2 linked regions of the Alligator mississippiensis genome follow. The protein of the gene in region 1 interacts with the protein of each later gene in a pairwise test. Links are inferred from orthologs where the notes say so. Each region holds a gene or a part of one and is shown in the gene's direction. Other genes may lie near its edges.

Region 1 (15,805 bases):
TTTTTATTAATAACTAATTCTTAAGCTTCAAAGGATGAAATGAAAAGCATAATTGGTAAATACTGAGGAAGTGTGTTGCAAAATGTTGAACTCTATAAAATTGTTCTGAAAAGGAAGTGTCTCAAAACTGTTGTTTAAAATGCACGCACATCACAGTTAATGGGGCCCATATGCAGGCCCTTTGGAAGTTTTTTAGCAAACTAAAATAAAATATTTCCATGCCTGTTGTCTGTTTTGTTTTGTTTTTTAAAGGATGTTTTAGCTCCACCAAGCTAGCATACAGGACTTGACAAATTTTCTACTCTTAACTTGCTAAAATGGTTGAAGTCAGAGCAAGGTGACAGCTTTATAGACTAACTCGTTCAGAATATGTGATATACATTAACATCTGTGTTAACCAGCATTTTACTAACTGGAATACTCTATTAAATGGAATTTCCAATACACCCCCCCCGTACAAGTTCTCACTTTAGCAACTGGAATTTTTGCTGAGTCTATCCAGCGTTCTCGTGCGCATCAAGTATTTGCATTACAAGTATGGCACTGTCTTCCGTATAACTCTCAGATAACTGGAATTTTTAGATAACCAGAACCCCTGTTACCCCACTCATACCAGATAACAAAACGTTTATTATAATCTGAATCACAGCATTTGACAAAGTAGGTTGTAGCCTAGGAAAGCTCATGCTGCTCTGAAGGAGTTAGTCTATGTAAGGTGCTATACTACTCTACCTTCTACAATATTTCAGACTAACAACTTCTTTCTAAAATGGTACTTGCATATTTTGGTGTTGAAATTTAGCCACTGCTAAATATTCATAAGGGTAGCATTGCCCGGTAGTCTAGTGGGCAGTGCAGAATTAGGGTTCGAATTCTGCCTGGTGAGAGCTGAAATCACTGCAGCCTAAACCCTGCTATGAGACCCTGGAGCAATACATTGGTCTTGAGAGCTCGAGTAGGAGTGGAGAAAAGCCAGGGAAGAGGCTAAGGGAACTGCATGACCTCAGACACTCTGGCTACCACTGCAGCAGTGACAGCATGTTTGTAAGGTAGGTGGTAGGTAAATCCCTGAGAACAGCTATCCTCCATCTCCACTCTTAAAGTGTTCCCACAGAATTTCTGTTGAAGTAGTCTGCATGTGCAGAGCTTTAGCCTCAAAGCAACAGCTCAAGCTGTTTCTCATCTTCAAGTTCTTAGCTGTGTGAGAACATTTGTGGCAGGCCACTTGGAGCCACAAATAAATGTCTGGTTGTCATTGTAAGCATCATGCCAGCTGCTAGTAGTAATAGGGAAGGAAGAAAGGAACAGACGTAAAGCACATGTAGATGACCATGAAAAGGGCATAAAGAGAGAGTGGCCACTGTGTATGGCAAAAGGGAACTTGAGTGGGCAGCTAATCTACTACTATGTAGGCACTACAGATGAAAGGAACAATCACTGTAGGAACAGTGAGTGTCATGCTTGTTATATAAATAGACTTCTCTGGTAGCAGCAGAGATATGAAGAGACTGGACCAAGATACAGGGATGAGATGAGGGGGGTCTCTAGAAAAAAGACAAATATTCCATTTGCTCATTCAAGGAAATCTATTAACTTAGCAGTGGAGTGTCAAAATGTGTCCCTTTTGATACTGGCCCAAGGGTTCACTAACTCCATTCTACCCACTGGTTACAGTAGCAGTATTGTAAAGAGGCTATTACCTTTTGGAACGGGACCAAAGAACAAACCCCTTTAGCTATAGTTATTATGAAGTGCATTCACCATAATTTTATAACTGACCTGGATTTGGAAAGGACAAGAATTAAGTCTTTTACGAGAAGTGAATACAGGGATTGTGGAAAGTGTCAGAGTGATGATGCTGGAAGCCAGTCTTCTATTTATCTAGTGCCATAAAATCAATGACAGTTCAAACCATCATTGCATTACGTTCTTCTGCACCCCAACCTTTCCTTTTCAGGGTGAGAGAAAACTTGATATTGGTGAGAATTTTGCCATTGATTTCAGTACAGCCAGCACTTCACCCTCCAGTGCCCATTGAGCAAGGGAACTAATCGTGCTGGTGGTTTCTGTTACCAGCTCACCAGACTTCAGCCCTGATACCTGTAAAGGATCCCATTGACTTCACTGGGACTTAGTGTTTTCATAAGAATCCATCTTTGTGCTTGCACAGATCTCTTTGCAGAGGCAGTCTTTGGTTGTACTGAACCTACAGTCAGAAGGTTGAGTTCTGAAGCAACTACTAAATATTAATCACTACAAGGAACTCTATATTACAAAAAATGCACATCCTCTTCTCACTGCCATTTATTTTGTTTTGCCTTTGAGCATAGATCAACTAATGTACCGAACCAGGTCTCTCAAACTGCTGCAGTGTAGAATGCATGAGGTACTTATTATGTGGTACTGCTGAAATAGAGGTGCACCAATAAAGATTTTCTTGGCAGATACCTATAGCTGATTATTTACCAGGCATATTGGCTGATACCAATCTGATAGCCGATTTACAGAAGCACAGCGAGGCAGCATGGAGAGCAGCTCCCTGCAGGAAAGTCTGGAGGGGAAGGGGCAGGGGGTGGAGCAGATCAAGGTCCCTGAAGTGAGGGAACAAGTGGGCGGGGCAGGAAGTGGGATGGAGCCACGGGTGGCTCATTCAAGGGATCAGCATTCCAGCATGTAAAAATTTCAGTGAGGGTGGTTGAACTAAAGGTCATCAAATGACCTTTGGTTAGTGCACCACCACCACCACCACTTTTAAGCACAGGGACACTTTTAGGAGTAGAGCGGAGCAGGGAGAGGTTGGATGCGAGCTGCCTGCTGCAGGCTTGGGGCTCTCCACCCTGCTGTCTTTGCCCTGGGAGCTGGTGCTAGCTGCATGTCCACTGCCTGTCCAGCAGTGGGGGCTACAACTTGCCGCTGCCAGACAGACAGGGGACACATGGCCAGCACACAGCCCCTGGGACAAAGGTAGCAGGGCAGAGAGCCCTGAACCTACAGCAGGCAACCCGCATTCACTCCACACAGATCTGGGGGGGCACATGTCCCACCATGACTCCCTCAGGGAGGTTTGCAGTGGCAGGGAGCCATGCCCTCCCATCCCGCATGACCCCTGACAACCTGCCTGTGGCTCTGTCCCACTCCCTGCCCTGGTCCCATTTGCAGCCCAGGTTGGGCAGTGCCCCCAGCCCCTGCCCCACTCCCTCCTTCACCATGGAGGCCTTGATCTGCCCCCCCATGGCCCTTTCTTTCCACAGACTTACCTGTAGGGTGCTGCTCTCCACACTGCCAATCGGCATTCCTGGCCATGTGCATCTGGGGACCCCCACCAGAAGGTGTATTATGTTGATCCATTAACTTTATCGGCTCATCAGCCAAAAAAACCCAATAGCCAATAATGTCAATTCTCCTTTTATCAGTGCCGATCCAATATGGCATAGATCAGTGCACTTCTACTCTAAAATAAACTACATTCTGCATTTCTGAGCTAGAAATAAAGCTAGAAAAATACTCTTGCTTCATTCTTCATTAATGATTTGGAAGATGGAATGGAGTGCACTCTCAACAGATTCAAAGATGACACCAAGCTGTAGGGAGTAGTAGATATGCTGGAGGGTAGGGGTAGGATTCAGAGTGACCTAGAAAAATTGGAGGATTGGGCCAAAAAAGAAATCCCATGAGGTTCAACAAGGACAAGTGCCAAGTCCTGCACTTAGAACAGAAGAATCCCATGCACTGCTGCAGGCTTGGAACCAACTGGTTAAGCAACTGCAAAAGAGGACCTGGGTGTTACAGTAGGAAATAAGCCAAATACGAGTCAACAGTGTGCCCTTGTTGCCAAGAAGGCTAACAGCCCATTGGCCTGCATTAGTAAGAGCACTGGCAGGGGATTGAGGGAAGTAATTTTTCCCTTCTATTTGGCACTGGTGAGGCCACAGCTGGAGTACTGTGTCCAGTTTTGGGTCCCCTACTACAGAAAGGATGTGGACAAGTTGGAGAGAGTCCAGCGGAGGGCAACAAAAATGGTTAGAGGGTTGAGGCACTTGTTGTGTCCCTGTGATGCTATAATGCATTGTATACCAGACAAGGAGACTAAGACACAGTTGTTCTAAACTAAAAGTAAGTTTATTGAACCCTAACAGATACAACTCTAATTAGAACTGAAGCAGCCTTAGCAGTTAAAAATGTTAGGTTTGTAGCTAGTCAAAGCAGATGCTCAGCACCCTGTAATGTTGCAAACACAACTTCACTGCTTGATCAGGCCATGAAGTCTTCTTGTCCAGGGCTCCTGGTCCCCACATCTGATGTCAAGACAGGATCTTGGATCGGTGACAGGATCTCTTCAAGCTTTCTTCAGGAGTGTTCTGAAGGATACACTCCCTCACCTTTCTTTATATCATATAGCTTGTATTTCTTAATATGTAAAATTAGCTTAAACTTTCCTCTTAATACACATTGATAATCTTGCTTCTGTTTGCCAAATATGGTTACCTTTAACTAGAATTTTCTATCTTGAAGTAATCTTTTCATTCTTAGGTGGGGGTAGGTTTTGCTCTGACTGTTCCTCTTTTGCCCATACCACATTTATTCCGTTTAGTTAGCTAGCTTCCTGATTAATTTTAAGTCAGAGACAGTATTTTGCCATCTGTTCCTTTCACTGGGTGCATGTCTCAACCACAATGCAAGCTAGGCATACAGCTTGAGCCAAGCACAAGGGTCAAACCAAAGCCTCAAGGCCTCTGGGTCCCAATACACGTGACTTCTGGGGAAAGGCCACAGGAATTGGGCTTATGTAGTCTGAAGAGAAGACTCAGGGGGTGGGATTTAATTGCAGCCTTCAACTACCTGTCTGTAGAGTGGTTCCAAAGAAGATGGAGTTAAACTGTTCTCAGTGGTGGCAGATGACAGAAAAAGGAGAAATGGTCTCAAGTTGCAGCAAGGGAAGTTGAGATTAGATATTAGGAAAAACTGTCTCACTTGGAGTGTAGTAAGGTACTAGAACAGGTTACCTAGAGACGGGGTGGAATCTCCATCCTTGGAGGGTTTTAAGGCCTGGTTCGACAAAGCCCTGGCTGGAATGATCTAGTTGGGGATGGCCCTGCTTTAAGCAGGGGGTTGGGCTAGATGACCTCCTCAAGTCCCTTCCAACCTTAATTTTCTATGGTTTGGTGGAAGGGGTAAAGGGGGTTGGGCTCGATAGCTCAGGGAGAGATTCCTCCCCCCTTGTGTTATACAATTCACTACAGATTTTGCATTCCTCTTTTTAAAAGGTTAATAACTTATTTTAAATTATGACTGTACAATTTAAATTACACTACAACATTATGCAATTGCTATTTCTTCTGGACCTAGCTCAGATAACATTCTGCTTTTCCTGCAATGCTGAGTTGTGCTGACCAGGGCTGGATATAGGTCACTTGGTGCCTAGGTGCAGGTAATAGAATGCCATCCTTAGTGACTTTTAGGGGTGCCTGGGACACTCCTGAGTCTCTTTACATTTGCCCTTCCTGCTGGGAACAGACCCCCGCTTCACTTACCTGCCAGGTCCTGATGTTTCTTTGGGTTCTGAAGAGGAAGCTGCCCCAGGGTTTCCCAGTAGGGTCATGAAGCTCAAGAACACCTTGCAGTGACGAGCATCAGCCTTAAGGGCTCTTTGTATGCTTCTACCTTCCCTTAACATGCTCTATGCCTTATAGGTGTTGCCTGTATACCATCCATTTGTGGGGGCTTCAGCCTCCTGAGCTTCTGCTCCTTTTTATCTGGCTAGGCCTACCAGCCAAGGTCCACGATTTAAGACTTGACTTCGAGGCCCTAGCTCAACAAACCACTCTGGGCTCCTGGCCCGTTATACCACGGCACTGGGCTCCCCAGTCTCTTTAACACTGCACCCCTGTGGTGCTGAGTTGTTGGGGCCTCAGCCTTCCCCAACTTTACCCCTTATTCTATACCTTGGCCTCCCAGCCTAGGCCCACTTGGTAGGACCTGACATTGAGGCACTAGGGCATCCCTCCACTCCGGGCTGCGTGCCCTGTATGGTTGTGCCTGCTATAGCACAGGCTCTTTAGCCCTCCAGCTGTGCATTGTGGACACTAATGAGGTCTCCACCTCCCCTACAGCCTCAGCCACAACCAGTCTAAAAAAAAACATAAACAATAAGCCTCTGCGCTATAACAAAAATAAAGGCAAAGAAGACAATTTGCCTGCTTATGTTTCCAGGGTCTCTGTCTCTCTGCATCCCACCACTAGCTGCTCGCTCTCTCATGAAGCTGCCCCTACTTTGTGAGTTCTCAGGAATCCACTCTCTCTGCAACTTAATCCCCCCCCAGCCAGTTTAGGCATCACTTATGTAGTCCTGGCCTGAGCCCTCTTCCAATCACCTGATGCCCCCTCAGCTGACCAACCAGCCAGACTCAGCTTTTAACCCCTTTTCTGCCAGTAGGATGTGCCCTGAAGGCTCTGGTCTTAAAGGGGCTGCCCTGCTTTCCAGTAACAGGGCTAGGGTTCCCTGTTACAGTGCAGCATGGCATGCAGAAATCCCTGCTCTGCCCCTGAGGTTTGCATTCTCCAAATGCAGTGGCAGAGGCAAGGGAAGCCATTTTCCCCATTAAGAGACAGAGGGCAACATTTGGTGTCATTATCTACCCTGCAATGGCAACAGGGGCCCTCTCTAAGTCCCAGAGATTTCCAGCGTTTCCCAGTATCTACCCTGACTGATGATGAAATCTATTTGGCTGGTGGCATAGCTGTACCTCCTTTCACACATCAGGTACTGCCTCACCAGCAAAAGGACACTTGCTGGCATACAAGCATCAACAAGCAGGGTATTTTTTCTGGCATCACTATGTTGGTTAGGTGGCTTGATTTATTTTTTTACATGCTTCTAGTTGACTTAACTCTGATAGGAAAATCTTGTAATGTAGATCCAGCTCCAGCAGACATCACTACTTTCGTTTACACTATTTATATTCTCAAGCTTGTCCTTGCAGTCATTAAACTAGAAACAACCTACTTTATAGAACTGTTTTCCATGGAAGCTGAGATTCAGATATAATCACACGGCTTCAGGACCTGGGGCCTCATGCAAGATCCATAATCAAGTCAAGTGAGTTCAGAGGTCACTGTGACCACTGGGGCACCTTAGATGCTGTGCATTATTGGTGATTCTTCAGGCAAAGTGACATAGTGGCACCCATCTCCTCTCCAGGTATGGGATGGCCGCTGTCTCACAGGGAGCTCATCTGCCCTTTGACAAGTCTTGTTTTTATTTCTGCTGGGTGTCCGCACATACTCCTCACTCAGGCTAGCCTGGTGGGAGCACCGGTTTAGTTGCCAACAACCCGACCCAGAACAGGCTGTACTGGTTTACATGGTACCAGAGAGCAGACCAAGAGAAGCCTGGCTTGACAGATCCATAATACCTAATTTTAATCTGGTTTTGATGCTGATTTCCTGTGATAAATAATAATTTGAAAGAATAAGCAATTATGAAATATTTGTTGAGCAAGTATTCTTTTTTCTGTGTTTCTGATAGGTCTGAACATGTTATGACCATTTAATGTGATATTCTCTCACCTTCTGCCGTAAACGTTTGTGTATTAGAATTGTGTTCTATTAAATGGTTGTTACAAGGCAGATAAGAGACAAAGTGGTGGGTAAGTCCTTATGTATGTCTCATTGTATGAATCAGTAAATGGAGCTTGTAATGTGAATGAAAGAAACTAATGAACAGAAAATGTGTCAGTGGATCCAAGTACAAAAGACCAGAATACCTTGGAAAAGAAGTATTTTAAAGTTCTTATAAATGGATAACCAATATACTGTGCCTCACAAAACTGTGAAAATCTATTTATAGTAGTTTTCCAAGCAAGGGATATATTTCAGTGGACATTATTTGGGGAAATGGTCCAGAAAGTGTGTTTAGGTATGAAACATAGCCTCTCTGTTTTATATTTGGGCTTTTTGACCACTTTCAAAGTAAAAAGGGAAAAATAATGGCGACCAAAAAAAAAGCAAACAGGGACATTTGTGTGAGCAATTGATCAGGCAACATTACTGCAATTAAGCAGCAAAATCCTGACAAAAGGATTAAGGTAAGCAATGAGGAAAGGCAAGATTGTCGCTTGCCAGTTCGCACGGGGGACACGCACACAGATCATAGCTTTATTGTACAATGCAAGTTTTTTTTTGGGGGGGGGAGGAGAGACAGGCTACTGATACTCGAGCACTACACGACTGAGCCAGTTCGTTCCTTGTCCCCACCCCCGGCAGCGGTTTTCAACCCTGTTTTCAGACTGGAGGCCCCCCCGGGAAAACTCTACCTCTGCTTTGAAGATGGAAAAATAACAGGGCAGCTTTTCCCTCCCCAAGAGCTGCGAAGGGCCACCACAAGGCAGAAGGTTTTGAATCCTAGGGATTCCTAGTTGAAGTCTCTGGGTTCGTCCCGGGATCCACCTTGCGTCCCCTCACGCCCAGGGCACACAAAGGAGACCCCAGTCCCCGAGGTCGGACACGTCGCGGCTGCTCCAGCGGGACCCCGCGACCCGCTGCCGGGGGCGTCGCATGCGCTCTGCCGCTGCCTCCCCGCCAGGGGAGCCGCGCGGGCCACCTGCAGCACTGGCAGCGGATCAGGCCGCCCTTTGTGACGCGGCGGCTGCGACTCCGGCTGCTGTCCTGTTCCCGAAAGTAGACCCGGCTATCCCGCTCCCCGAAGGAAAAGGGAGGCGAGGAAGAAAATAGTCCCGTTGGTATGCCGCCGCCGGCGGATGCGTCCCCGCGCCTGTGCAGTGAGGTTTGCAAAGAGCCGGGGCTGCGGGACGCGCTACACACAGTGTGGTGTAGGACAGGGCAGTGGACGGAGGTGGTGTTATGCGATGTACTCCAATGTACAGTAATGTACAGCAGTGAAATGCGATGCACTCCAGTGTAGTGCGATGCAATGTGGGGCAGGGTAACGCACTCCAGTGAATGGATTCATAGATAATACGCGGCAGGAAGGGGCCTTGGAAGACTGTCGTGTCCCGCCGACCTGCACCCAGCAGGAAAGACAGCTGGGATCAGAGAATGTGATGCACTGCAGTGTAGTATAGGGCAGTGAAACGCGATGCAGTCCAGTGCACAGAGGTGCAGTGTAGAGCACTCCAACGCTGCGTGGCGTCCGGCAATGCAATGCACTCCCATGTAGCGTGCTGTATGGCAACACAATGCAATGCAATGCAACGCACTCCAAGGCAGGGGAGGGGAGGGGAGGGCAGTGAAATGCAATGCGATGCACTCCAACCCCCGAGTGCAGTGCCGTGCAATGCACTCCCACGCTGTGTCAGGCAAAGCAATGCACTTCCGGCTGCCCAGCGCACGGACGCACGCAGGGAGAGGGCCTGGAGGCTGCAGGGAGACAAGCGGGGCGGGGCGCCGGTAGGAGGCGGGGCCCGTATCCCTGCGCTGAGCTGCGCTGCGCACACGGCGGGGGTGGGCCAGGCGCTCTGATGGGGGCTTTGCAGCAGCCCTGGCGCGGCGGCGCGGCGGAGGCGGCGGCCTGCTAGGCAGGGGCAGGAGCGCGAGCGCGCCGCGGGGCCCCCCGCCCGCCCGCCGCAGCATGAGCCGGCCGCAGCCGCGGGGGTGCCGCCGCCCGCCTCCCCCGCGCCGCCGCCCGTGAGAGCCGGGGACATGGGGCCCGCGCCGCGGAGACTGCTGCTGCTGGCCGCGCTCTGCGCCCTCGCGCGAGGTGAGGCGGCCGGGGCCATGTTGCGGCAGGGAGAGGGGCTGGGGCCGGGGCCGGAGGGGCTTCGGGGGTCCCCTGAGGGTGGCGCTGGGCTGGGCGCGGGCCCCTTCTCGCCTCCGTGTCCCCGCTCCCCTCGGGCGGGGGCCGTGGGCAGGGCATGGGGTCCTCTGCGTGCCGAGGGGGAAGGGGTGGTCTAGAGGCCGGCCTTGGGTTGAGCTTTACTCCCGCCCCCCACAACAAACCAAGCGCCCCGTCGGCAAGCAGCGTACGATGGGTTTCTTTGAGGAGCGCGGGGCCTGGCGGCTCTGTCCTGAGGAGTGTTTATGGTCCTTCTTGAGCATCTTGAGGGGCGTTAAGCTCCTCTCATCTGTCCTGAGAAGTGTTTAAGGCTCTGCTGAGCTGTCCTGAGAAGCGTTCACATCCTCCTTATCTGTCCTGAGAAGCGTTAGGCTTCTCTCTCCTGTCCTGAGAAGCCCCTCACATCTGTCCTGATACTTGTTTCAGGCCCTGCTGATCTGCCCTGAGAAGCGTTTCAGGTTCTGACCCTGTCCTGGGACTTGCAAGAAGTTTGTGGTCCGGAAGCGGTGGGTTGCAGTGACTGATGCTCTGCATTTTCAGAGCTCCTCTGAAAGCTGGCAGTTGGCTGCCATTCAACGTTTTTAATTGAACTCCCCCCCCTCCCCCCCTTCCTGCGCTGTGGAGCACAAAACTGCAGCCAAGGGATTTCTGTGCTGTACGTTTGACTATAATAACTGTTTCAGCTCATCTGAAATGATCTCTGTTGGTTAGGAGGAGGCACCTAGTTGGCATCTTTTTTTTTTTTTTAATTTACTCTTTTACACAGTTAATAAGGAAGGGGGGGAGGCTTTGATACTATTGGGGGGGAAAAGCAATCCCATTTTTTACTTAAAAGCTGGCCAGCTGGCACTAATGAGTTTGTTTTGATGGGAACTGGAAGGAAGGTGGTTTGGTTTGGAGGAAGTGCTTGATAGCCAGTTGCTCAGTGCTCTGGAAAAGCAAGATTTCGCCACGGCAGTCCTTGTCTTCCCATGCATCTGTTTGCCATATTGTATCCTGTTGGAGGGAGAGTTATACTTAGGTACATGAGCTGTGTAACATTTCATGCCCTACTTGTGCTAGAAAAGTTTGATTGGATCTCAGGAATAGGAATGAACCAAAACTTTTCTGAATACAGCATTTTCTTATTCATGTTTTCTTCATGCAAATGTATCTAGCTCTAACTTTGTTTATGACTTGGCTATTTTTTTTTCCTTTCGCTATAGTGGCAAATGGAGGAGGATTTTGGCACTCATGACTGTCATTTTTTCAAATTAGCACACAGTTGCATATACTTTGCAAGTTTTCATGAACCCTGTGATTCTTAGGGAGAAACTTTTGAAAGACATTAAGTTTGTAAATCATCCTGGATTGTCACCCCCCCCTCCTCCCATCTTTGTCTGTTGCTAAAGACATTTGCATCAAAACAGTATCTTTGTTTCTTCAGAGTTCATCTGCTCCTGCTGCTTCTCTTCCCACCTGAAGTCTTACTCTCAGTGACATTACAGTAATTTCCACAGCAGCTAATTGTTATTTTGGATACCTATAAGCAGCAGGAGCAACTAGCTGAGTGCTGAAAGAAAGAAAGCTTGAATTTTCATGCAGATGCCCTTTCTAATAAACAACATATGATATGCAAGCAGAATTGGCTCCAAGTAAAATGTATTCAGTTTTCAAGAGGTGTCAGCAGTTTCTTAATGAGGCAAAAGCAGTTGCCAGCTTGAGAATGTTAGAGGTATGATTAAGTTTATACATGCAGGTAAAGGGGAAGTTTGGCATATGTGTGTTTACTTCTTTCTTTGTGAACTCAGCACTGTGAAATGTGCCAAACTAACAGCATGGGAGATGTGAAGGATGCTTGATGTGCAAAAGATGCAGTGGAACACATGCTTTCTTTGCCTACCTAATAGCCAGATGACAGCAGTAATTTCTGTTAACGTGCCTACCAACCCAGAGTGAATTTAAACCAATATCCTGGAAGTATAAGGTTGCAATTAAATCCCTTATGATTAAGACTTGGAAAAATAGCAGACACCTACTAGTTAAAGTGGATATGTAATATATAGGACCTCTTCACCAGTCCTGGGACTGTGAGAAGCCAGGCCCGCTACCAGGTGCAGAGTGTATGTTGGATTTATAGTGGGTTGATGTCTCTGGAGCCTACTGAAAAGTTCCTTTGCTTGTGGCAGCCTCTGGCCTACTTTGGCAGCTGGAAAGAGAATATGTGAGGAGTCCACCTTATCCTAGAACTGCCCAATGGCTGGAATTCTCTGAACAGCAGCAGTGCCTGCTATTGCTTGGAGCTTTCTCCAAACTACAGAGGAGTGTGATGGACTTGGTTCGTGTCAGCTTCACTGTTTCCCACTGCATTTTAATAGTAGCTGTGAAACTGCTGGAGTATTATTAGATTATTCAGTGCTGCATGGAGGCAGCAGTAGCCAAGGAAGATGATACCACTTAAGTTTACATTTGCAAACTTAACTTTCCTGTCAACCCTGCTAGGTATGCATCAAAAGTTGACTGAATAGAAAGCTTATAAATCATGTATGGGCTTTACATATTGCAGTATTTGAATACTGAACAGGTCTGCAGTTGTGGTTTGGGTCAGTTCTGTAAGAAATGAAGTGTTTGGTTGGGGGACTGACATTTCAGTGATTGCTTTTTCTCATTATGTGAAGAGATGTAGAATTTGTTTGGTAACTATTTTTATTGGACTAACTGTGTAGTTGGGAGAGACAAGCTCCTGGGCAGAAAATTAGAGTGTATCCCATATTAGAGATGGGTATATGATATTGTATGTTGTTCTACTTGGTTTCCCTCTGTCTCACCTGAAAGCTTTCTGAAACCAGTATGATCTAAAGTTTGGCAAACTCCATTATTAATACAGAAGTTGCCACAATTGTATCTCTACAGCATGTTGCATTGTCATCCTATAATCACTGAAAGACTCTTTTTAGGAGAGTGATTATTACATCTGTGGCAGAGTTTTTAATGTGGCTGAGATCTAAGATAAAGTAGCATTATGGAAAAGGATGTTAAAAATGTGATGGAATATGCTAGTATTTCTGTTTGGCTAAAGTTTTAATTTACTTTGCCAGAAGTTTGTGATAATGATGCATTGCCTATATCCTCCTTTTAGGAGTATACAAGGTTTTAGCTGAAAAATGTAAATTATAATATTTTATGATTAAATATATTATTCAGAGTGACGTTAAGCAATCGTGGTTTATCCTGCATGTCTGCTCTCCTCCCCCTCTCCCCCGCTGCCTCCCACTCTGTAACTGGTGTCTTATCTTCACTCACAAAATTTTTAGCAAGGTGAGAGATTCTCTTGTGTATATATACAACTGTGCAGCTAGGAAATAATATGGGAATATTCATCTGCCTGTCTCTGGGAACAGAAACATCTCTGTATTTTCAAACATCTGTGTCTGCCTTTATGATGACACCCCCTCTTAGAAATCCTAGCATCAAGAATTCTTCCTCCATAGACCCATTCCCCTGTTTACTTCTTATTCTTAAGTAGAGCACAGTATTTTAATTTTTCTCCCTGACTCTTGGGGAAAGAAGAATCTCTCATCTCTTGATCTATTGCCATTCATCTCTGGCAGCCAGCCCTCATCTTCAGTCCAGCATGCTTTGTAACCCCCTCAGACAATGTCAGGTCTGAGTTTATACTTTTTTTTTAACCACATAAAAAGACTAGAGCAATTTTTCTGTTGCAAAGAAATCAGACCATAACAGGGCAGAATAGTTTGGACATTAGAGATTTCATACAGGAATCTATAGGTTTATCTTGTGCATCATGTTTGCACACCAAACAGTGCTAACGTTGTGTGGCATCCCATGGCACCTGTGAAAGGATCTCAGGGCACCTCAGGGTGCTGCAGCACCCTGGTTAAGAATCATTGCGCTAGACCTTCTTGGACAGGATGCTTGGAGGAACTCTGCCAGAGGCATGTGGCAGCAAGGGAATGGAAGTAGGCCCCACAATTTCATCCCTATTAGCTTTCTGCTCCTGCTGTCATAGTCACTGCAGGGAGGATGTTGACAAGGAGGTCTGATGACCCTGAGGGGACCATGTATGGGAGGGAGGGGCCATATAAAAAATGTGTATGTGTACACACAAATACAGTCCAAACATCTGCTTGAGGGTCTTGAGATGCCAGACTGTGTTTCAGGTGAATTTCACTTGTAATTAAAGAAATACAGCTTATTATACTCTCAGCATTCATTGTGGTAGACAAACTGATGAAAGATGCTGTGCTCTATGAATTTTGTGGCCAAAGTGTACTTCAGGGAAATAAGCTCTCTTTTCTAACCCTTCATTGGACATGTGCAAAGAAGTGTGGATTGAAAATGTGACACTGTTGTGAGGTAAGGATTTTTATAGGTGATATTTTTTTATTGCACTAGAGTCGTACTTGGGAGGAACCCGAGACACCTCCGTCCCTGGCACCATGACCAGCTGAGGGTTTTTCAGCAGGGGCTCAGTAAAGCCTGGTACAGACTCCAGGCTTTACTGGAGCAACCATGTCTGGGATAAAGAAACTCCCCCCAGAGGTAGTGCAAGCACCTACTCTGGACTCTTTCAAGAAACATTTGGACATTTAACTTGCTGAGATCTTTTGACCCTAGCTGACTTCCTGTCCCTTGGGCAGGGGGCTGGACCCGATGATCTTATGAGGTCCCTTCCAGCCCTAATGTCTATGAAATCTATGAAAGTTAGACAAGATTTTGGGCACAATTTAACCTTTTTCAGGTCACCTGCCCAAAAAGTTATTAAAAGCTTTCCCAGATGTATTTCCCAGGAAATACCAAAGAGACAAGGATTTTTGTGGCTGATATCTTTAACTGAACCATCCTGGCTACAACATCACTCTGAGTCATTTGGTACTAAATTGCTTTTCCTTCAGTGAAAGAAAATCAGTTGCAGTATCTTGTCCCAGGAGAGGGCTGTCAGTTTATCTTGCAGTGGTCCAATCATTGCTGTCAAGTCAGTGATCCTTTTTTCCTTTGTGAGTCGTTAAGAATATAGTCCAACAGTTGGAGTTTTCCACACTGAATTCTGAATTCCTGTTGCCAACAAGCTGCTAACTATCCTGTAGATTAGAAATCTGAAGGAAGATGAGAACACTTGGAGATCCTTCTTTGTACTTGAAAAGATAAATAGATACTTTTTCAAACATTTCTGTCTAGAGTGTTTAGACTTGACAGGCTGCTCAAGTATTGAAAGTGTCGACAAAGGAAGATAGTTAAAAACTGAGGAAGAACTTTGAGTTCTGCTTAGGATTTGGTGTTACCATGAGCTTTTCATGAAAGCAACCTGCACATCAGTGTGAAAAAGGAGTTGCTAATAAAAGGAACTGTGTCCTCAAAGACAGAGCACAAGGGGCAGTGTTTCATCAGAAAGCACAAATTTAATAACACATTGACTTAGCTTCTTGGACAATTCAGTGCATATTTTAATCACTCTCATATTGCTTCACATTTCCCACAAGTATTTCTGATCATCGAGGAAATAGGTGTGATTATTTTTGTTTCTACTTAATCATGCTGCTCTTCTTGCATAGGTGCAGATGTGCTGGTTGCAAAACACCATTATTGTTACATGTAGAATCTCTTAACTATTTGTTCTTATGTCACAGCAAAGTTTCTTTTTTCTGTGCTAGCAAAGGCAAGTGATTGTTGGAGTTACCAGTAACGTAGTTTGCAAACAACAGAAGTTGTGCAGTGCACCAAGTAGGGTGGAATGATTTATGACTTAAATAGAAATAGGAAAATACTGATGTCATTGTGCAAAGAACTGTTTTTACTGTAGATGGTTCTGGTCACTTGTATTAAAAAAAAGTGCGGAAATGGAGAGCAAATGTTCAAACTGGGAAAGGTGCAGAGTAAAAGAGTTTAACTAGTTTAGCGTAGAGAAATTAAGGTTAAGAAATGTGATGACTGATTTCTCTAACTACATGTTTGGAGGGGGGAGAGATACCAAGGAAGATTCATAGATTGATGGGCTGGAAGGAACCTTGGAAGATC
Region 2 (15,453 bases), on another chromosome or scaffold:
AAGGGGGGGCACGTGCCCCCCCACTCACTTCTGCGTGCCCCCCCCCCCGTTTCCCTGGGGGGGACTCTACCCCCCCAACTTCTGTGTGTTTAAGTGGGGGTGGGGGAAGCTGTGTGTCTTCATTTTTCACATGCAGTCTTTTAAGACTTGGGGGCTGAGCGCGTGTGTGTGCGTGTGCGCGCGCATGTGTGCGTGTGCGCGCGCACATGCGTGGGGCCACACACTCGCACACTCTTCAGTGCCCTTCCCTGCAGTTTACCTAGGGGGTCTCACCCTCCCCTCCAACTCCTGTGTCTAAGTGTGTGCATGTGCACAGTGTACGGGGGGGGGCATGCACACACTTTTGTGCCCCCCAGCTGTACTTTTCCAAGGGTGTTCTCCCCCCCCCACTCCTGTCTGTGTGTGTGGGGGGGGCACTGAAGACACATACCTACACACACACATGCACACACTTGTGTGCCCCCCGCCCACACTTTCCTTGGGGTGTCTCAACCCCCCTCTATTGTGTTTGGTGTGTCCCGGGGCCCACATGCTTACACATGCATGCACGCCTGTGGGCCCCCACACTTTCCCTAATGTGTCTTGACTCCTTCTACAACTCTTCCTTCTTTTAAGAGCTTGTGTGCATTTCTAGGGGGACCACGTGTGTGTGTGTGTGTGTGTGTGTGTGCGCACCCGCGCGCACACAGTTGTGACCCCCTATACTTTCCCTAGGATGTCTGAGCCTCCACCACAGCTCTTATCTTTAAGATTGTGTATGTACGTACATACCTACATACGCACAGGCACGAGTGTCCAGCTCCCCCCCACAGTTTCCCTGGGGAGTTTCAACCCCCCCCAGCTTTTGTCTTTAAGAGCATGTGTGTGTGTCTAAGGGGGCCACAAGCGTGCACGCACACACAGGCACGCACACATACACTTCTTTCCCTGGAGTGTCTCAACACCCCCCTCCAGCTCTTGTCTTTACGAGCATGTGTGTGTGGGCCCCCTGTGCCCCCATGTCTTTTAAGAGCTGGGGGCCTGTGTGTGTGTGTGTGCATGCACATGCAAGGGGGACCCACACTCACTTCCCCCCCCAGCTGTGGTTTCCCAGGGAGGGGGGGCAATCACCTGTGTCTTTAAGAGGGGGGTGTGTGTGTGTGTGTGCCCGTGTGTGTGTGCTTGCCTATGTGCTTGCCTGCTCGCACACGAGGGGGGGGATGATGTAATACCGCTCCCCCCCAGGCTGGAATTCAATCCCAGGCCTTTTAGCTGCTGGCTCCAGGGATTAGTCACAGGCCCGTGCGGTTTTGGGGCTGGAGGGGGCATTAAAGAGACATGGGCCCCTTTCCCACCCCGTCCTCTAAACTTTCCCCCTAGCCAGGGACCTGGGGGGTGGGGGCTGGGCTGGGAGGGGGTGCCCAGACGGGGTGGGGGGCTGGCGCAGAGTGGAGACGCTGGGAAGGAAACTTGGAAGGAGCCTGGCCGGGAACAGGCAGCGCATTGTGTGCGCGCGAGTGCGTGTGCACACGCGTGTGTGGGGGGGGTGAGGGGCTGGCTCCTGCTCCCCCCCAGTCCTTCTCTCCCATGTGCTTGTGTATGCGTGTGCCCCCCACGCCTGGCACACAGGAGTGGGAGGTGGGGGGGCTGAGTCACTGGCTGAGCTGTCCCTGTGTGTACCCCCCCCCCAGGATCAGAGCCTGCTGGGAGCTGGGGGGGTGCTCCCACCCCCTCTTAAGGGTGGGGGATCGAATGGGGGTGGGACAGCTTCATGAGGCGGGGGTCACGAGGATGCCCCCCCAGGCACCAGGGAGGCCTCAATTGTGCGGTGTTGGGGGGGTGCCCCTGCGTGTCTGGCAGCGCCAGGCCAGGAACAGTGGCCCATTCAGGGCTGGTGTCGGGCCCCTCCTTGGTAGTGAGAACAGGCCCCTCTGTGTGTGTGTGTGTGTGTGTGTGTGTGTGTGTGTGTGTGTGTGTGTGTGTCTGTGTGCGCGCGCGCGTGTGTGCGCGTGCGTGTGTGGGCCCGGGTGGGGGTGGAGAGCTGCAGCTGGATGGGGGGGCGGCTCTGAGCTCCAGCCTGCCTCCCCCAAATTGCCTGAGGGGTCCCCAATGCTGGGATGTGCGCCCACCTCTGGGACATCCCTGGGTGGGCGTCCCTGGGTGGGCCTCAGGACTTCCCACGACTGCAGAGTGGGTCCCTGGGTGGGCGTTCAGGACAGGAAGTGACCCGTTACCTGGAGAGGTCTCTTCAGGAGTGGGGTGCGCTAGACCCCCAGGTCCTGGGGTGGGGGCCCAGCCCCCCCTCCCCTCCCAGCAGGTTATTTTTAGCGCGCTCTTGCACTCTCCGTTCCCTGTTGCTTGGAGACTGGTACGCGGCGGTGGGGGGGGGTGGCAGTGTGTGCACCCTGGCACTGTTTGTGGGGGGGGGGTACAGCAGGAGGCTGCATTGTCCTCCCCATGGCTTTCAGAGCCCCCCCATATCCCAGCTCAGTTGTACCCCAGGCCCCCGGATCCTGAGTCTCATGCCCCCCTGTGTCCCTCCCCCACAAATCACAGCTCCTGTTGTGCCTCCCCCCCCCCCCCCCCCCCCCCCCCGCCCTGTGTCACAGCCTGGTGTCCTCTGCAACCTCTTGGATCAGATCCTGCTCCCCCCTATAGCAGGCCAGGCCCTGTCTCGGCCCCCCTGCTTCCCTCCACACTGGAGCTGGGCCAGGGAGGGGGGGCAGCCCCCCGGGGGGCTGAGCTCATGCCGCCAGCTCCGTCTGCGGCCGCCGCGCTCCCGGCCTCCATTACCAGCCCTGAATTATTGATGGGCTGCGAGCACTGGGGGTTCGGGAAATAGGAAACAGCCCCCACTCGCCCCCTGCCTCCCCAGTGCCTGGGTCTGGTCTGGGGGGTGCTCTGGAACTGATGGAGTTAAAGGGGGGTCAGAGCTGCCTGGGGGTGATGGCACTTGCCCCCCCCCCCGTACCCTCCTGACATAGGGGGCATCAGGCTCCAAGGGGGGGGTCCAAGGGGCTCCAAGGTGGGGCATCAAGATGGGTCAAGGGAGGTGGGTTAGGTGGCTGATTGGCCTTCTGGAAAATGGTAGTTCCCAGCTTCCTGTGGATGGGGGGGGCTGGGTGCCCCAAAACTTGGTGTGTCCACAGAGACATGCCCCTGGGGTGGGGGGGGCTCCGCTGGGGATCCCAGGGGGCTGTGTGCATTGGTAAGGGGGGGTCCCAGGCTGCAGGCTAGGCCCAGCCCCTCTCCCCCGCCCCCCCCCAGGAATGTGGCCGGGGTTGGGCGGGCGCCTGGCGCAGAGAAAAGGCTCCTTGTCTGGGAGGCGGTGACCTCAGCCGGCAACCATCCCACCCGCCCGCTCCCCCTGCCCACCCCCCACCCCACCCCCGCCAGCGGGGTTGGGGACCACTGGGGGGGGCGCGCCTTGGGTCTGGGGACACTGGGTCAGGAGGGGGGTGCTGCGGGTTGGGAGCGAGGGGCACCAGCTCTTTTGGGGGGAGCTGTGGGTTGGGAGTGAGGGGCACCAGTTTAGTCTGGGGGGGCTGCGGGTTGGGAATGAGGGGCACTAGTGGGGCTGGGGGTCAGGAGTGAGGGGCACCAGCTCTTCTGTGGGGGGGGAGGGTGGGTGGCTTGGCACTGGCCCTGGGCTCAGTTAAACCGGTTTCCTGTTGCCCCCCAGGTGGGGGTGATGTGCACACCTTGTGGGGACCTGGGGGGGTTAACCCTTCGGCTCCCGTGCCCATGCAGAACCCAGAACCTAGGCATCCAAGTCTGCCCCTGGGGGGTGACTTTGACCTCTCTGGGAATAGCCCTTAAAGGGCCAGCAGCCTCTACCTGACCCCCGCTGCCTCCCAGGCTTCGCCTTCCCGGACTGGGCCTACAAGCCAGAGTCGAGCCCGGGCTCGCGGCAGATCCAGCTGTGGCACTTCATCCTGGAGCTGCTGCGCAAGGAGGAGTACCACGATGTCATCGCCTGGCAGGGCGACTATGGCGAGTTCGTCATCAAAGACCCGGACGAGGTGGCGCGGCTGTGGGGCGTGCGCAAGTGCAAGCCCCAGATGAACTACGACAAGCTCAGCCGGGCGCTGCGGTGAGTGGGGGAGAACCCAGGTGTCCCAGCTCCCCGGGATCCCTGTGCTGTAGCCCCCCAGCCCCCACAGCTGACTTGGAGAACCCAGGCACCCCATGTGCCCCAACTCACTGGGCTGGCTGAGGTCCCTGGGGTTTGGGTGTGGTTGTGGTGCTGACCCCTGGTCTGCCCTCCTCCCAGGTACTACTACAACAAGCGCATCCTGCACAAAACCAAGGGCAAACGCTTCACCTACAAGTTCAACTTCAACAAGCTGGTGCTGGTCAACTACCCCTTCATCGACATGGGCATGGCCGGTGAGCGGGGGGGCCAGAGGCGTACAGGGGGCGGTGGGCTGGGAGTGAGGGGCACCAGGGGTGGGAGCAGGGGGGTTGTGGGTCAGGAGTGAGGAGCACTGGGTGGGGCAGGCTGGGAGTGAGGGGGCAAAGGGCTGCAAGTTAAGAGTGAAGGGCACTGGAGGGGAGCAGGGGGTGGCAGGTTGGGACTGAGGGGCACCAGAGGAGCTGCAGGGCTGAAGTGAAGGGCACTGGGTAGGGAGCAGGCACCAGCAGGTCACGAGTGAGGGGTTGTGCCCTAGCTCACTGCAGCTGTGTGCCTGCAGGTGGGCCTGTGCCACAGAGCGCGCCGCCAGTGCCGTCGGGTGCCTCGCACTTCCGGTTCCCGCCAGCCACGCCAGGTGAAGTGTTGTCACCAGGTCCAGAGGCCCCGCGCTCACCGGGTGTCTTTGCGGCCGTGGCACGGCGCCTGGCCCGCGGCTCAGTCAGCGACTGCAGTGATGCCGCCTCGGCCGCCTCGGAGCTGGAGGAGCCTCTGGGCGAGGACCCACGCCGCCCACCTGGCCCCGACCCCTTCCGTGGGGGTCCCCCACTGCCCACCCACCCTCGCCTGGCACCTGAGGGGCTGTTCCGCGTGTACCCCCGCCCACCGCCCCGCGCTCCCGAGCCCCTCAGCCCCTTCCCTGTGTCGCCGTTGGCTGGGCCAGGCGCCCTACTGCCCCCACAGCTCTCACCTGCCTTGCCCCTGACGCCTGGGCATGTGCCGTTCACACCCTCACCCACCCTCAGCCCCATGTTCCCCGGCGGGTCCCACTTCTCCTTCAGCCCGGAGGACATGAAGCGCTACCTGCAGGCGCACACGCAGAGCGTGTACAACTACCACCTCAGCCCCCGCGCCTTCCTGCACTACCCTGGCCTGGTGGTGCCCCAGCCCCAGCGCCCTGAAAAGCCCCCAGATGAGCCTCCTGGCGCTGCCCCCTTCAAGTTCAAGCTGCAGCCACCACCCCCTGGGCGCCGCAAGGCTTCTACTGCTCTGTCCGAGCCTGTCCCGGCACCAACCCAGCCACCGCCACGCATCAAAGTGGAGCCGGTGTCCGAGGGCGACTCAGAGGAGGAGACGGTGGAGGTGACGGACCTGAGCGAGGATGATGAGGATGTGTTCAAGGCGCCGCCCGCCCCTGAGCCACCCGCCCCACTGCCACCCCCCACACCTGCTGCTGCTGCACCCCCTAAGCTGCGCTTCAAGCGGCGCTGGAGCGAGGACCGGCGCCTTGAGGCCTCCGCGCCCACCCCTGCCGATGACAAGAAGGCCAAGGCCGAGCCAGGGCCTGAGCTGCAGCTTGCCACAGCCCAGCTCTCCCTGGAGAACCGGGACTGCTAGACCCCCTCCTCACTGCCTTATTGCCCCACCCTGTGCTGGGGGGGAGCCTTTATACCCCTCTCACCATTACTGGGGGGGTTGGGGGGCACATCGGGGACCTCTATGCCTATACATATATAAATACCTATAGATATCTCCTATTTTTCAGCCCCCCCCCCCCCCCCTGCATGGGGACTGCCCCCCCTTTGTTTATAGTGAACTTGCTGCCTTGTTTTAGGGGGTCCTGGCCCCCCCCCCCGGCCTTTTTTGGAAGCACAAGAAGCAATTTCCTCTCCCCCCCCCCCCCCCCCCCCCCCCCGTCAGGCCCCTTTTCTGCAGGGGGGGCCATGTGCCCCTCTCGGGTCTGCAAGGCCTGGGGGGTTGTGGGCTGGGCTCCACCCCCTTACATCTCCCCCCCCCCCCACTATTGATCTCGGGGTTCCCTGCTGGAAACCAAAAATCTGCCCCTGGGGCCGGGCCGTGGCCCCCCTACCCCCCCCGGGGCTTTCAGGGCTGTTGCAAGTGCCTGTGCTGTGCTGGGTCCAGGGGGCCGTGCCACCCCCCCCCCCACACACCCTGGGGGGGACCTGAAGTGACTTCTTCCCTTGCCCCCCGCCCCCATCTTGCCCCCCTAGGAACAGAGAAGCCATTGACACCCCCCGGGTTCTCCCGCCCGGGGTGGAGATCCCCCCTCATCTGGGGGGCAGCGGGGACCCCCCACCTTAGTGACCTTGTTGTACAGAACCGGCCGCGGCTTCTTTTACGAATGTATAAAACCCGCGAAAAATAACCAATAAACAGTGATTTGGAGACTTCCGGTACGGGTGGTGCTGGGGGGGCCGCGGGGCGGGGGGGCGCCCAGCCCGGGGCGGAGTCCGGCTGCATTAACCCCTTCCTGCCTGGCGGGGCCCGGGCGCTGGACAGCCCACCCAGGAAGGAGAAGCTGCAGCTGGGCCCGGGCTGTGGGAGGCGGCTCTGACCACCAGTCCTCACTGCCCTGGTGCCGTAGGGAGAAGCCAGGTGTGCCCCGCTCTAGGTGCACAGCCCTCCCCCGGCTCTGGCACTGCCCCAAGCCAGAGCGTCCGGGGCCCGCCCTGCCCCGCCACATCCTCCCTGCGGGGAAGCTGGGGGCGGGGCGGGAAGCCGCGGTGGGCGTTCCCCCCGCCGGTACCCCTCACTCCGGCCGCGCTTTGCGGGAGGACACGGAGACGGGAGGAGGAGCGGCGCGCCCGGGGAGCGCGCAGAGCAAGGGAGCGGGGACGCCTCGCGTCGCTCCGTCCTCACGCAATGCCTCTTGGGAGACGTAGTCAACCCCCCACAACAGCTGGGACTACATTTCCCTCGTCGCGCCGTGCAAGCTGGGAGCTGCAGCCCCCTTCGGGAAGCGGCTGGACTCCCCTTCCCGCCACCCCTTGCGGCTCTCGCGCGCTGCGTGCTCGGAGCCTCTCCATTTTGCCTCCTCGCTTTCCCGTCGGCCCCCGCGGCAGCACGTGACGTCACTGGCAGCTCACGAGGGTTCCTGCGCAGACACCCTATTTCCCAGTCTCCATTTCCTGTCAGTCCTTGCAGACGCCTACACCCCCCCCCCACACGCTCCCAGACTCCATTTACCGGAATCCCTCGCGGCATGCCCACCTCGGTTTCCGGTCACATCTCTCCAGTGCATGCGCAGACCTCCACACCCTCCGCAGCCCATTTCCAGTCACTCACAGGCGTACATGGTATCTACCCCTCCGACCTGCGGGACTCCATTTCCCAGCGTCCCCCGGCTTCACTCCGCCATCACGCCCCTCGGACACATGCGCACACCTCCTCCTTTTCTACCTGCCGGACTCCATTTCCCGTCATGCACAGATACTCCTATCTACGCGAGTCCATTTCCTTCCGCCCCCTGCCTCATTCTCCCATCACTCCCCTCGCGCGCATGTGCAGATGCCTCATTCCCTCCCTCTCAGGGACTCCATTTCCCGGCCGGCCCCGCCCGCGCCTGCGCCATTTGTTGCCCCGCCCTTTCCCGCCGGCGCTTCCGGGGCCGGATGGACTCGCTTTCCCGGCGGCCCCCGCGCGGGGCGGGGCGGGGCCGGGCCGGCGGCTGGAGGCGCCGCAGTCGCTCCGGCCTCGCCATGAGCAGCGGTAGCGCCGGCCCGTCCCGCCCGCGCGCCGGCTCCTTCGCCGACGCCGCCCCGCCCCCCGCGGCCCCGATCCCGGCCGCTGCGGGGGGGGGCAAGGCCGGGCCCGGGCCGGGGGGGGGCGGGGGCGCCTTCCCCGCGGGGGTGAAGCTGGGCCGTGAGTGGCGGCGGGGCGGGAGCTCCCATGGGGCTGGGGGCTCCTGGGCCTGGGGGCGGGCGGGTTCCCCATGGATTTTGGGGGGCTTGGGGGTGGGGCTGTTTCCCCTAGACCTGGGGGAGGGCGCCAGGGGGGGTTCTTAGGGGTTGGGGGGCAGGCGCTGGGCTGGGGGGTCCCCTAGATCTTGGAGGCTCAGGGTGGGGGGGCTGGGTCCCTCGACCTGGGGGAGGGGGTGGAAGGGTCCCTATGGGTTTAGGGGGGTCAGGGAGGCAGGAGGGGCAGGGCTGGGGGGTCCCCATGGGTTAGGGGTTCGGGGCTGGGAGGGAGGGGTTCTTTGGGGGAGGAGCCCAGGGCCTTGGGGTTTAGGCTGGGGGAATGCTCCCTGTGGGGGGGCTTCCAGAGCGATTTGAGGAGGTTTCTCTATGAGCAACAGGTCCTGGGGGGTCCCCCCCTGCACTGGGTCAGGGTTGGGGGGCTTCGTGTTTCCTAGGGTTTGGGGGTTATGGTCTAAAGGTGCCCAATTGGTGGGGGGGCTTTAGAGGGTTCTCCAGTGTCCTTATTGGGGCGGGGGATGGGGCTGGCTGGGAAGACAGGCTAGAGTTTTATGGGGGGGGCAACAATGCATGCTCCCACGTGGGGTTCACACCCACCTGGGGGGGTGGCAGGTCTCAGCCCTCGCACCCCTGACCCTGTGCCTCCCTACATAGGGGACAGCGGGAAGCTGAGCACAGTGGTGGCAACACCGGGGCAGGGCCCTGACCGCCCGCAGGAGGTCTCCTACTCTGACATCAAGGTGATCGGCAACGGGTCCTTTGGTGTTGTGTACCAGGCACGCCTGGCCGGCTCAGGTGAGCTCGTCGCCATCAAGAAAGTGCTGCAGGACAAGCGCTTCAAGGTCAGGCATGGGGCAGGGGACTCCCTTCCCCCCACCCCTGGGACCCCCCACTCACCCTGACTCTTTGCCCCCCCACCAGAACCGGGAGCTGCAGATCATGCGGAAGCTGGACCACTGCAACATTGTGCGGCTGCGCTATTTCTTCTACTCCAGCGGGGAGAAGGTGGGGGTGCTGGGGGGGACAGCCTGGGGAGGGAGGGGCAGGACTGTCATGAGCAGGGGCGGCAATTTGGTGTAGGGTGGGTTGGGACTATCAATGGGCCCTGGGGCAGTTTGGGGCGGGGGTGGGGCTGGGACTGTCATGGGCTGGGGAGCAGTTTGGGACTTGTCAGCGGGGGGGGGCAGTTTGGGGTATAGTGGGTCAGGATTTTTGGGGCAGGGTGAGCCAGAATTGTCAGGGGAGCGGGGGACTGTGGAGGAGACCCGGGGTCCTTGGAGGGCTCTGGGGAGCCATGTTGCTCAGCTAGGGATGCACAGGGGTGGTGGTGGTGGGGGCATCCCAGGGGGTCTCACCCCCTGTCCTCCTAGAAGGACGAGGTTTATTTGAACCTGGTGCTGGATTTCGTGCCGGAGACGGTGTACCGCGTGGCCCGGCACTTCTCCAAGGCCAAGCAGACCATCCCGGTCATCTATGTCAAGGTAAGGTGGGGTCAGGGGATGTGGGGAGAAACTCCTTGCCCCCCCTCGCTGTGCTGACCGCCCATCCCCTGGTGCCCACAGGTCTACATGTACCAGCTGTTCCGCAGTCTGGCCTACATCCACTCACAGGGTGTCTGCCACCGCGACATCAAGCCCCAGAATCTGCTGGTTGACCCTGACACGGCTGTGCTCAAGCTCTGCGACTTCGGCAGGTGACGCCCAGCCCTTTGTGCGAGGGTTACTCCCCACTGACACTCGTGCCCAGCCCCTTGTGCAAGGGTTCCTCCCCTATCATGTCAGAGGTGGTATGAGAGCCAGGCCAGTGGGTTGCCTCCCTCTGCTCCCCGTGGCTGGGCCCCTGTGCAAGGCTGTGGCTGGGCCCTTGTGCTCTGGCTCATGGCCCCGATTCTCCCGCAGTGCCAAGCAGTTGGTGCGGGGCGAGCCCAATGTCTCATACATCTGCTCCCGCTACTACCGGGCCCCCGAGCTCATCTTTGGTGCCACCGACTACACGTCCAACATAGGTAAGAGCACCCCCATCCTGCCCCTGCCTGCCGGGCTGGGAATCCAGGCATCCTGATACCCTGCCCTGTCCACAGATATCTGGTCGGCGGGCTGCGTGCTGGCCGAGCTGCTGCTGGGGCAGCCCATTTTTCCTGGGGACAGCGGTGTAGACCAGCTGGTGGAGATCATCAAGGTAGGTGGAGAACTGAGGCATCCGGGTCCTGTTGCACTGCCAGTACCCAGGTGCTCATCCTTTCAAGCCCATTCCTTTCCAAGAACAGAAAGAACCCAAGCATCTTGCTCGCCATTTCCCTCCCAGAACCCAGGAATCCAGGCCCAGCTGCCCGTTCTCCTGGGCCCTGTTCCTTTCCAAGAGTAAAAGGAGAACCCAGGCATCTGGGTCCCCGTTCCCTTCCTGGATCCCAGGAGTCCAGACTCCCAGCTGCCTGTTGTGGACCTTGTTTCTTTCAAAAAGCAAAGAGAAAACCCGTGTCTGGAGTTTTTAGTTGCCCGTCCTTCCAAAGCCTATTCCTTTCCAAGAACAGAAAGAGAACCCAGGAGTCCAGGTCCCCATTCCTTTCCCAGAACCCAGGTATCTGGGATACCAACCTGGACCCCGTTCCTTTCCAAGAGCAGAGAGGGAACCCAGGCATCTGGGTCCCTGGAACCCAGGCATTCAGGCTCCTAGCTGCCTGTTTTCCTGGACCCTATTCCTTTCTAAGAGCAGAAAGAGAACTCAGGTGCCCAGGCTCCCAGCTGCCCATACTGCTGGACCCCATTTCTTTCCAAGGGCAGAGAGAGAACCTAGGAGTCTGGATCCTTGGCGTCTGGGCTTCCATATGTCTATTTTCCTGAACCCTGTTCGTTCAAGAGCAGAGAGAGAACCCAGCTGCCTGGGCTCCCAGCTGCCCATCTTGCTGGGCCCTGTTCTTCTCAAAAAGCAGAAAGAACCCAGACATCCAGGTCCCTGTTCCCCTCTTGGAACTCAGGCATCCAGGCTCTCAGCTGTCTGATATCTTGGACCCCATTCATTTCTGAAAGCAGAGAGAGAACCCAGGCATCTGGGCAGTGGTGGGGGTTGGTGTGACAGGTCCCCCCTCTCCCCATCAGGTGCTCGGGACACCCACACGGGAGCAAATCCGGGAGATGAACCCCAACTACACAGAGTTCAAGTTCCCCCAGATTAAGGCCCACCCCTGGGCCAAGGTAGGTGGGGGGAAAGGTATGGGTGGGGGGTGTCTGGTGCCCCCACCCTGATCCCCAATGCTCCCCCAGGTGTTCAAGCCACGCACACCAGGTGAGGCGGTGGCACTGTGCGCCCGCCTGCTAGAGTACACACCGGCCACGCGCCTCTCGCCCCTGGCGGCCTGCGCTGATCCCTTCTTCGATGAGCTGCGTGAGCCGGGTGCGCGCCTGCCCAGCGGCCGTGACCTGCCCCCCCTCTTCAACTTCAGCCCTGTGGGTGAGTGCAGGGGGGGAGGGAGGGGGAGCTGGCCCCCCAGACCCCCCAGCCTGACCCCCACCATGTTTCTCTGCAGAGCTCGCCATCCAGCCTGTGCTCAACGCTACCCTGGTGCCCCCCCACGCCCGGGTGCTGGGGGGATGTGTGGCTCCCCAAGGTGAGTGGCCAGCTGCATTGGGTATTTTGAGGGTCGGGGATCCCTGAGTGCCCCCTGACTCTGCCTCCACCCCTAGGTGAGGGGCGCCTGAGCGGTGACAGGAACCAGCTGGGTGACGGCGCGGGACCCATCGCCAGCACCTCCTGAGGGGCTCTGGGGCCGGCCTCCCCCCCGCCTCCCAACTGAACTGTGAAGGGGGCGAGGGTTTAGCGTCCCTTCCAATGACCCCTTGGCCCAGCTGCTGCCTTGTGGGGGGTGAGGGGGAAGGTCTCTGTCTGCCCCCCATTTTAAAGTCCCTTTCAGTTTTAAGCCTCTCCCCCAGGTCCCCCCCAGAGCCGGTGGGGGGAAGCTATGGCTGTGCCCCCCCGCAACTATGGGGGGCCCCTCATGCTCTGGACCCCAATGGGAGTTTTATGTCCCTGCCCGCCCCTTTTGTAAATACACCCCTGCCCCCTCCTTTTATGGATCGCTGTGTAAATAGTTGATTTTTTTCTTATTGCCTCCCCCCCACCCCCCCTGCTGCCCCCAGATGAGCTGGAGGGGGGGTGGCCTGTGGCCCCATTAGCCCTTTTCTTAGACTTGGCTGTGTACAGACCCCTTCAATAAATTATTGGCATGACCCGAGGCAGCCTGTGCTGGGAGACTTATGGGGGGCAGCTGGTTTTTGAGGGGAAGGGGCTGAGAGGCACTTTCTGGACCCCACCCGTCTGCAAGGAGAGGCTGGGTGAGGTGCAGCCCTGCCCTTGCTTCCTGGGGTAAGGAGAAGGCAACACCCCACCCTGCCTTATTTTGCTGTAGCATAGGATGCCTGGGCCCCACTGGGGACATGAGGAGGGGCTGCAGGGCAGGACTTGTGGGGGAGAGGGGGATCCCTGCTCCCATTGCTAAACTAGGCCCCATGATGGGCTCCAGTGCCCCCCCCGTCCCTGGTCCTTGGGAGTCCCTGCCACCCTCTCGAGGGGCACAGATACCCCGACCCCAGCGCAAGGGGCTGAAACCAGAATTTTTATTTACAGTGCGGGGAGGGGGCGAGGTGCAGGGGGGAGGGGAGGCCCCCCGGCCCGGCCCTATACGAAGGCGTTGACCTGCAGAGCGTCCAGCTGGAGGTTGCCCTCGAAGGCGGCCTGGTAGATCTCGATCGTCTCAGCCAGTGGCAGTGGCTCGGCTGTCTCAATGATGGCAATGGCCTCCCCAAACTCGGTGCACATGATGGTCTGGGTGGGTGGTGCAGTGACAGGCGCGGGGGGGGTGGGCACTGTGGCGTGGGTGCGGCGGTGGCTGCGCAGGTTGGATAGCGTCTTGAAGGCTTTGGGGCAGAGTGGGCAGCGGTGCGGGCGCTCGCCTGTGTGTGTGCGCCGGTGCTCAGCCAGGTGCATGGCCTGCACAAAGGCCTTGGGGCAGAGTGGGCAGCGGTAGGGGCGCTCGCCTGTGTGCAGGCGCCGGTGCTCCTGCAGGTGTGTGGCTTGGCGGAAGGCCTTGGGGCAGTCAGGGCAGGGGAAGGGGCGTTCGCCTGTGTGTGTGCGCTGGTGCAGCCGCAGCCCTGAGGCTGCCCCAAAGCTCTTGGTGCAGAGCGGGCACTGGTGTGGCCGGAGCCCCGCGTGGCAGCGCTGGTGCCGGCTCAGCCTGCTCCAGTTGGCAAAGGCCTTGCCACACAGCACACAGGCCAGGCGGCGCTGCCCACCCCGTGCCCGCTGCACCACTCCTGCTGCCACATCCCGGCGGCACCGCTCACGCGGGCCATGCAGGCGCCGGTGCTGCTGGAGGTTGGAGGACTGCGTGAACCGCTTGTGGCACACGTCGCACTGGTAGGGCCGCTCGCCGGTGTGTGTGAGGTGGTGGCGTGCCAGATTGGCCTGTGAGGCAAAGGTCTTGCCGCACTCGCAGCACTGGAAGGGGCGCTCACCTGTGTGTGTGCGCAGGTGATTACGCACGTGTACCAGCTTCTTGAAGGGCTTCCCGCATGTGGGGCAGGGGTGCTTACGTTCCAGTATGTGCACCAGGCGCCGGTGCCGTACCAAGCGTGGATGGCTGGAGAAGGCCTTGCCGCACTGCGGGCATGGGAAGGTGCCTGGTGTGGTGGTGGGCAGCGGTGCTGGTGTGGGGTCTGGTGGGCGTGGGCGGGCTGGTGGCGAGCCGCTCTTGCCGGCATGGGTGCGGCGATGGTAGAGGAACTTGGTCATGTTGCTAAAGGCCTTGCCACAGGCACAGCGGTGCAGCGGGTTGGCCGTGTGGCTGCGCCGGTGCCCCACTAGCGTCATTTCGGTGCCGAAGCCCAGGCCGCAGTCCACGCAGAGGTAGCGGGCCTCACCCGTGTGGAGCCGCAGGTGCTGCTCCAGTGATGCTGCTTTCTTAAAGACCTTACTGCAGCGCGGACACTCATGTGTGCCATCAATGTGGGCACGCTGGTGTGCCACCAGCCGGTTGGCTGTACTGAAGACCCGTGGGCACTCAGCGCAGGTGAACTCCTCCCCTGCTGCTGCAGGCACTAGCGCATCTGGGGGTTCGGGTGGCGCTGGTGCTGGGCTGGCTGGCTCAGGCTTGGGGGCCTCGGGGGCGGCTGGCTCGCTGCTCTCCTTCTCAGTCTCAGCGAAGTGCTCGCCCTGGTGTTCCAGGAGCTCCTCAGGGGTGGGGAAGAGCCCGGCACACTCAGAGCACTCATAGGGGTGCACAGGTGGCATGGGCGTGTGGCTCTGGCGGTGCGTGAGCCACAGCTCAGGCGAGGGGAAGAGCTCTTGGCACTCACCGCACTGGTAGCGGATCTGGCCGGGGGCAGGGATGGGTGTGGGCTGGCGTGCTGGCGCCGGGCGCGGGTGCTGGCTCTGGTGGGCCAGGAGCTCATCCGGGGACAGCAGGACGCGGCCGCAGTCCAGGCACTGGTAGTGGGGGTCGGGTGGGGGGGCGGGATCACCCAGGTGGCTTTGCTGGTGCAGCACCACCTCCTCCAGCGTGTTGTAGAGCAGACCGCACTCGGAGCACATGTACTGGTGCTGGAAGAACAGCCCCGGTGCCAGCTCCTCCGCCATGCTGCTGCCTGCAACGCCCGGGGGCAGCTATCAGTAGGGGCTGGGGGCTGTGGTACCCTCCTCCCACCGTTAGCCAGAACTGAAAGGAAAATGGGCCCAGGGTGGGCTGACTAGTTCTGGGGGATAACTACATGCACGGGCTGGGGGCTGTTACCAGACCCTGGGGGCCTATTGCTGGCTGGCAGCTGGTTTCGTATTCCGGGGTGGGGGTGGGAGGCAGGCAGGGGGGCTGGTTCATGAAGTGCGGGAGTCCTGACGCCATAGGGAGGTATTGCAATCTGGGGAGGGAAGCTTATGCTCGGGGTGGAGTATGACCCGGCCGCGGGGGGGGCGGGACTGAAGCCAGGCCTGGTGAGCGGGGGCTATTCCGGGCCAGGAAATGGTTCATGGGGCGGGGGGCTGGGGCTTGGGAGGTTGTTACAGGCCAGGAGGTGGCTCATTCCCGGGGGACGGCGGGTGTTCCTGATCGTAGAAGGGATCATTGGTGCCCGGGGGGGGCTGCTGCCCTGGGGGGTGGTATAGGCCGGAGGTCACGGCACGGCACGGCACAGCCCCGCCCCGCCCCGCCCCGCCACTCACCCCGGCCGCAGCCGCAGCCCGCTCCGGTCTCCTCGCGCCCAGACTCCGCTACACGGCGCGCGGCGATTGGCCCCCGCCGCGCCGCAGCCTGCAGCCAATCCGCACGCGCGATGCTGAAGGGGGCGATTCGGGTGGCGAGGGGACGGTGCCGGGCCCGCGCCCTGAGCCAATGGCGTGCCGGGAGCCGCCTGGCCCCGCCTC

Evidence for each region.
Region 2: the proteins of LRP6 (region 1) and GSK3A interact in binary tests that used the Homo sapiens proteins (3 or more experiments, as listed by UniProt). The link is inferred for Alligator mississippiensis from reciprocal best matches to the Homo sapiens genes LRP6 and GSK3A.

The regions. Positions count from the first base shown.
Region 1 is NC_081827.1:137,069,428-137,085,232, reverse strand, and holds the start of LRP6 (low-density lipoprotein receptor-related protein 6), read left to right. Parts: upstream 1-9,498; 5' UTR 9,499-9,657; coding exon 9,658-9,715; intron 9,716-15,805. UniProt on the Homo sapiens protein: Component of the Wnt-Fzd-LRP5-LRP6 complex that triggers beta-catenin signaling through inducing aggregation of receptor-ligand complexes into ribosome-sized signalosomes.
Region 2 is NC_081838.1:30,768,003-30,783,455, reverse strand, and holds GSK3A (glycogen synthase kinase-3 alpha), read left to right. Parts: upstream 1-7,728; 5' UTR 7,729-7,743; coding exon 7,744-7,993; intron 7,994-8,700; coding exon 8,701-8,888; intron 8,889-8,967; coding exon 8,968-9,051; intron 9,052-9,416; coding exon 9,417-9,527; intron 9,528-9,608; coding exon 9,609-9,739; intron 9,740-9,944; coding exon 9,945-10,051; intron 10,052-10,126; coding exon 10,127-10,224; intron 10,225-11,141; coding exon 11,142-11,237; intron 11,238-11,306; coding exon 11,307-11,493; intron 11,494-11,569; coding exon 11,570-11,650; intron 11,651-11,726; coding exon 11,727-11,797; 3' UTR 11,798-12,274; downstream 12,275-15,453. Other genes in the region: ETS domain-containing transcription factor ERF, read left to right, coding at 3,838-4,072, 4,253-4,368, 4,674-5,728; ZNF526 (zinc finger protein 526), read right to left, coding at 12,718-14,673. UniProt on the Homo sapiens protein: Constitutively active protein kinase that acts as a negative regulator in the hormonal control of glucose homeostasis, Wnt signaling and regulation of transcription factors and microtubules, by phosphorylating and inactivating glycogen synthase (GYS1 or GYS2), CTNNB1/beta-catenin, APC and AXIN1.